2 linked regions of the Saccharomyces cerevisiae S288C genome follow. The gene in region 2 interacts genetically with the main gene of each other region. Each region holds a gene or a part of one and is shown on either strand. Other genes may lie near its edges.

Region 1 (3,463 bases), on a different chromosome or scaffold from region 2:
GGATTATTACCTTCAATCGACTTGGGCGATGAGTTTGCAACTTATGAGACTTTTAAGATAGGAGTACCAGATATTCCTAATATTCTGGAATTAGAGCATTTAACTGTGATGGGAAATGTGTTTTTTGGTCGTAATATAACTCTGAAAGGGACGGTCATTATAATATGTGATGAAAATGATGTAATTACTGTTCCCGATGGCTCTATTTTGGAAAATGTAACGATTTGGCATAAATCTCAGCTGGAGGATATGAATGGATATTAAACAAGAGAAACTTTTGGGTAAAATGCATGAATAAAGTTTTCTTCTATTCCCACTATGTAAGAGGAATCATGTATCCTCACAGAAAAAAAAAACTGGAGCACATTGCAATAGTGGCATTACATTGCAATTTGTGGGAAGAGAAGTATACACATCAGATACGTAGGTATTTATCAAATTCTGAAAATCACTCATCATTTTTGTAGTATTTTTTTTCTCCCCATTTATTCTTCAGTCACTTATAAGGGATAATTCTTAAATAAATAAGAAATACTTTCACCATTATGCAAACGACGAATACTTTCAGCCAGCACACTACTGATGTCAATGACTGCCAGTTTTGGGCACTTCTTGATTTTTTCTTCAAATGGAACAGTATTTGTGCAAACAACTCTATCCAGTTTAGAATTGTTAATATTTTCAATAGCTCTGCCTGATAAAACACCGTGCGTGACAATAGCAATAACAGATTTAGCTCTATTCTCCAAAAGAATTTCAGCAGCCTTAGCTAAAGTACCACAAGTATCGGCCATATCATCAACAATGATACAAATCTTATCAGTAACATCCCCAACAAGAACCATACGAGAAACCTCATTGGCACGAGCTCTTTCCTTATGGATCAATGCAAAATTTAGATCCAAACGATCAGCCAAAGTGGCAGCACGTTTTGCCCCACCAGCATCTGGCGAAATTATTATTGAATCCATATAGTTGACATTTTCCTTGATATACCTAACTACGCTTGGTTCTGCATATAAATTATCTACTGGGACGTCGAAGAACCCTTGAATTTGGGAAGCATGCAAATCCATAGTAATAACATGATCACACCCGGCTGTTGTTAACATATCGGCCATCAATTTAGCGGTAATAGGAGCACGAGACTTATCCTTTCTATCTTGTCTTGCATATGGGAAATTTGGAATAATAGCAGTGATTCTTCTTGCAGACGCAGTCTTCGAAGCATTGATCATGATCAGTAGTTCTAGAACACGATCGTTCACGACACCAGAGCCAATTTGCGTGATGATAAAGATATCTTGGTCCCTAACAGATTCTCCAATAGAAAAGGAAACCTCACCGGTTGGATCTCTCTTTAGTTTGCTGCTTGTTAACTGTAGACCTAGCCTTTTGGCAACAAGTTCAGCTAAACCTCGGTGGACATCTGGTGCTAATAATTTGATGGAATTTGTTGGCATTTTGTAATCCTAAGTGAATATATGAGGCTCAGTTTGAATGGGTAGGTTCGTTTATCCTGCGCTGGCAAAGTACGTAGAAAAAAGAGTATGAATCTTTCTTAGATATATTCAAGAAAAAGTAAGTAAATAAGAGGGTACGTGATTATAAACAGATACGAGTTTAGCGAATAATACCGTTCGCAATCATAACTTTATAAAACTCATCCTATTACTTACTATTCGACTGGAAAATTTTCGCAGGCAAAAAAAAAAAAAAAAAAAAAAGAAAAGAAAAATCGATGAGCCTGCCGTACACAGAGATATAATAAATTTAGAATGCAAGAATGGTATGGCGGTGATGAAGATAATCATTTCCCTGCTTTTTTATTTTTGTTGCGCTTCTTCTTGCTTTTGGATGCCTGTGCTGCCCCATGTGGTTGCTGTATTAGGATGGTACCTTCTTTTACACTCTCATCAGCGTCTTTGAATTTTTCTTGAGAATCTAGATAAAACATTAGGTCCTTGACTTGCTCTTCCAAATCTTGTTTAGACTCTTCTAACGCTTTGTTTTCTCGCTCTAACTGCTCTTGTTTTTTTGATAAGTGATCTAGGTTCGCTTGTAGTCCTTCGATTACTAACATATCTTCCTCAAGCTTAGATTTCTGGGCCATTTCCCTTTTCTGCCACTCCTTTTGAGTGACCTGAAATTGGAGTTTCAAATCTTCCATAGACTTCTTCAAACTTTCAACATTCGAAGAATCAGACGCAGTTTGATCTTTTTCTTGTAATTTCAGTTCATAATATTCTCTTTGAGACTCTAATTGAGATATTAGGACTTGCACATATTCTAGATGATACTCCCTATGCCTTAAAAAATTTGCCGCCAGCTCGCCATCTTTTTTATTAGAGTTCGATTTCTCACCGTTTTTGCTCCTGTTCCCGTAAACAACATTTTGTAGTTCATCGGAGTTGCCTATATCATTGTTGTCATCGTCACCGGAGCCGCCGACCTCTACTAACTTCCCATCAACTTCATTTTGAACTAGGCGATGGACATAATTATCACCCGCATAATCCCACACTCTTTGTGTCCGTATATCCATCGCAAAACAATGTAAAGTTTCTTCATAATGCTTGATTGCGTGTTTGGAATTGTAACGACCGCATCCAACATTACCGCAGATCAAGCAAATCCATAGATTATCAGTGGAACCACATGTTGCACAATGTGCGGAATCACCTGCCTGTTTCAATAATGATTCCCTGCTTAGCCGCAGACTTGAATGTCGACACACTGGACACCTTGAATTCTTCCACTTATTTAAGCATTGGCAATGAAAAGTGTGCTGGCACGGGATCGTTACTAATCCAGTAGTTTCTGAATCCATTCTTTCAAGGCAAACGGGACATGTGGGGAGTTCGACTTTTACCAGTTCCTTTTTTTTCTTAACAGTGAATGGATCAGTAAGCAGATAGGGGAAGTCCTCGTTAGCGGCTGGTCTTTGGAAGAGCTTTTTTTGAAAAACTATTTCTTTTACAGAGATCACATGGCATGTTTCGGGATCCATCCTGCTGAAACTTTTGCCATTGAACTCTTCCTTGAAATTTTTCGCATCAAGTGCATTCCTGAATTTAATTAAGACCGTGAAATTAAAACCCATTCCCTTCTGCTGATTTCGTAATATACGAAAGTTTGAAACTTGCTTATTAACAATATCATCACCAATATAAAAATGCAATAAATCGTGAACGGTAAAATAAGTTGGAACAAACAGGATACATATCATAGTATCATCTCCCGGGATAGTCAAAATCTCCTTCTCATTAAGAGTATTATTGGCATTGCTTAGCTTGAATAGCCTTATTATCCCATGGCCTAAGTATTGTGAAGTAATCAAATCACTTTCCTCTTCTTTTGATGTTTGATTTTTGAAATCAGTTATCATGTCTATTTCCAAGTCACAGACTCTCCAATCCTGCCAGTCTTGATTATTACTTTTAATACTTTCTTCCCCGATACT
Region 2 (3,963 bases):
AACTTTAGTAATATCATATAAGGGATCGTCATCGAAAAAAACGCATTCTTCCCAGGTGTAATTATTGTTTTTGTTTCCTATAATACTGTTATTACTATTCAATCCATTAATCCTCGTAGACTTATTTTTGGCCTTAAAAGCGTATACATCATTTTTTTGTAACTGCACAAGCAGGTGATTTAGGTCATTCAACACATACTCGGTTTTTTTATTATAGCAAATTGTCACTCCATATAAAAGATTAGAAATGTATCTAAGAGAAAAATCATTTTCGAAATTTTGAATTTCATCACATGTTTTTGGTATGGAAATATTTACGATGTCTTTTTTCTTAACGGTGGATGAAGATATGTTTCCAGTGGAGTTGCTTTTGTTTGAATAATAATTGTTACTTTCCTTTACAATGGAATTTCCCAACGCAGAAAGCAACCACACTGTTGTGAGGCCCTTATATTTCTTGTCATCTTTAAAGTTCAACGAAAGAGGTGCCATTGCAGAATATTTGTAATATTAATCTATATATAGCAAATGCTTTAGAGTTGCTGAGGCTAAAAAGAAATTATAGAACAACTATAAAATATTAAGTCCGGATACACTGCTTCCTTTATACCATGCCCTTCCCTTTATAGTGTAAAAACGCGTAATCTTAATCAATCTGATATATTGGTTTGCCGCCGAAGTCAAGTTCTCCTGCTAAAACGAGACAAAAAGAACACGTGAAAGAAGAAAGAAAAACGTTACGATAAAATAAGTTTTATACCTACTTTCATATCTACCAAAGGAACACAATGAATTGCCGTATGTTATTCTTGAAGTAAGAGTCAAGTATTATTTATGGACTAGTATTCACGTTACTAGTACATTATCACATGCGGTGTAAGAAGATGATATAAAAATTGAGGGACAGTAATCAAATTCAACGGAAGTCAAAAAGGAAGGATTGGTAATGTATAATATCGAAAAATGTGCGAAATAGTTGATAATTGTTGGAGTTTTATAGTTGTTAAAGGCTATAATATTACGTATTTAGAATATACTAGAATTTCTCTATGAGAAGAACCCACGAAGAGATCGATATTCTCGATATAATGGCATTATTGTTATCCTTTTCATCTTATGTGACTGTCATTCATCATCCTACTAAATTATCAATCCTTGCAATTAGCTTCTATTACACCTGATGACTGTTTTTCAATCTTTATGTGATCTTTTTACACCCAATGTGATAAAGTACTAGTAACATGAATACTACTAAACAGATGATACTTTAGAGTTTTCATTCCAACACTCAATTGTAAAAATAAGACAATATTATGATTTTTTGGCTGTATAACCACATCTATTTAGTAGCAGGGTGACATGTTACTCCCACACAATACTTCGCGCAAGTGGTTTAGTGGTAAAATCCAACGTTGCCATCGTTGGGCCCCCGGTTCGATTCCGGGCTTGCGCAATTTTTCCCCCTCGCCCTGAAGGGCGTAACGTTAACGCTTCCGGTAATTTGCGAATAATTTTTCTTCCCATTTCCCCTTTCTTTTCCCTTTAACATGTGGAGCATAGCAGGCTCTTTACTTTTTTACGCATTCAGACAGTCGGGAGGTCAATTGGTGGTGCCGGTTGTGGGAAAGAGGTAATTTTATTTCCTTTATTGGACATGATTTCAATAGTCACATTGGGGCAGGAAAAAGAAAAGGGAGAAAAAAATTCAGTAAAGAAAAAAAATAAGAAAAAGAGAAAAGAAACAAGAGAGGGCTACAGATTTCTAAATATCCTTTTGCTGCACATTTTTTATTTACCTGCTAATTGGTCTTAGTAATACAGAGTCGTGCATTTCCACTTTATAAGAAAAAAAAAAGGGATAACAGCACCAGCACTTGATTGAAAACTAGAAAGTTCACGTTTTATAAGTCCTTTCCGTTCTCTTTATCAGTTATAATAAAAGAGCCAAGACAAAACGTGGCAGGGAAGCTTTTCCAAGGAAAAGAGGGTTGTAATATTAAACAAAAACCGTAATCAAGCAAAATAAGACCCCGTGGTTTTTTATCATAGGAAAAGAGTTCTCTGTTGTCACTCTACCATATTTGACAAGAAAAAGGAAACAAAAGTATAGAAAAAAAAAACCTAAAAAATAATGGTCTTGATAAATGGCATAAAGTATGCCTGTGAGAGGTGCATAAGAGGCCATAGAGTAACAACATGCAATCATACAGATCAACCGCTTATGATGATCAAACCCAAAGGTAGACCTTCCACTACATGCGACTATTGTAAACAACTTCGAAAAAACAAGAATGCAAATCCTGAAGGTGTTTGCACGTGTGGCCGGCTAGAGAAGAAAAAACTGGCACAGAAAGCCAAAGAAGAAGCAAGAGCTAAAGCCAAAGAAAAACAAAGAAAACAGTGTACCTGCGGGACTGATGAGGTTTGCAAATATCATGCTCAAAAGAGACATCTAAGAAAGTCCCCTTCAAGTTCTCAAAAGAAAGGAAGATCCATTTCTCGTTCTCAACCAATGTTTGAAAGGGTATTGTCTTCTACTTCACTTGACAGCAATATGTTATCCGGCCACGGAGCACTATCAGATACCTCTAGCATACTGACGAGCACATTTTTAGACAGTGAGCCGGGTGTTGGTAAAATTTCAAAAGATTACCATCATGTCCCTTCATTGGCCTCCATTTCATCCTTACAATCCTCGCAATCGTTAGATCAAAATTTCAGTATACCACAAAGCCCGCCGTTATCTTCAATGTCATTTAATTTTCTCACGGGAAATATCAATGAAACCAACCAAAATCACAGTAATCATCAGCATTCAAAATCAGGCAATAACTGGCAAGATAGTTCGGTAAGCTTGCCAGCGAAAGCTGATTCACGTCTTAACATGATGGATAAAAACAACTCTGTGGGTCTTGACCTATTAGGCCATTCAAAACGAATATCGCCGATATCAAACTCTCGTGTGGGCGAAGTTAGCGTTCCGCTAGAAGAATATATTCCTTCTGACATTGATGGGGTTGGAAGAGTTACTGATAAAAGCTCTTTGGTCTACGATTGGCCATTTGATGAAAGTATTGAGAGAAATTTCAGTACAACCGCAACCGCTGCAACTGGTGAAAGTAAGTTCGACATTAACGACAACTGTAATAGAATTAATAGCAAAAGTTATAGTAAGACTAATAGTATGAATGGAAACGGTATGAACAATAGCAATAATAATAATATCAACAGTAATGGCAACGACAAGAACAATAACAACTCTTCTAGACAAGAACATCAAGGAAATGGACTATTTGACATGTTTACAGATTCATCGTCGATTTCAACGCTTTCCCGTGCAAACTTATTATTGCAAGAAAAAATTGGTTCGCAAGAAAACTCTGTCAAACAAGAAAACTATTCGAAAAATCCTCAACTTCGTCATCAATTAACTTCCAGAAGTAGATCATTTATTCATCATCCGGCAAACGAGTATTTGAAGAATACTTTTGGAAATTCACATAGTAATGACATCGGAAAGGGAGTTGAAGTGCTATCTTTGACACCGAGTTTTATGGATATTCCCGAAAAAGAAAGAGAAACGGAAAGATCGCCATCATCCAATTACATTACTGACAGACCTTTCACTCGAAAACCTAGATCTTCTAGCATTGACGTAAACCATAGGTATCCACCTATGGCACCAACAACCGTAGCGACATCTCCCGGTGCATTGAACAATGCCGTAGCAAGCAATCTCGACGATCAACTGAGTTTAACATCACTAAACTCTCAGCCATCATCGATAGCAAATATGATGATGGACCCTTCAAACCTAGCTGAGCAAAGTTCTATTCATTCAGTTCCTCAGTCAATAAACTCTCCGAGAATGCCTAAAACTGGAAGTCGCCAAGACAAGAACATTCACACTAAGAAGGAAGAAAGAAATCCGCTAAATAACATACACGATCTGTCACAATTGGA

What was found. A genetic interaction does not mean that the proteins touch.
Region 1: of HAA1 (region 2) and PRS3, changing one enhances a phenotype caused by changing the other (phenotypic enhancement), as found in Saccharomyces cerevisiae (one study listed by BioGRID).

Annotation. Positions count from the first base shown.
Region 1 is NC_001140.6:80,154-83,616, forward strand, and holds PRS3 (ribose phosphate diphosphokinase subunit PRS3), read right to left. Parts: upstream 1,464-3,463; coding exon 501-1,463; downstream 1-500. Other genes in the region: YHL012W (UTP--glucose-1-phosphate uridylyltransferase), read left to right, coding at 1-264; ETP1 (Etp1p), read right to left, coding at 1,811-3,463. UniProt on the Saccharomyces cerevisiae protein: 5-phosphoribose 1-diphosphate synthase involved in nucleotide, histidine, and tryptophan biosynthesis. Active in heteromultimeric complexes with other 5-phosphoribose 1-diphosphate synthases (PRS2, PRS3, PRS4 and PRS5).
Region 2 is NC_001148.4:570,887-574,849, forward strand, and holds the start of HAA1 (Haa1p), read left to right. Parts: upstream 1-2,131; coding exon 2,132-3,963. Other genes in the region: REC8 (Rec8p), read right to left, coding at 1-492. UniProt on the Saccharomyces cerevisiae protein: Regulates the transcription of a set of genes, many of which encode membrane proteins. Among the genes regulated are YGR138C and YRO2. Does not seem to be dependent on copper.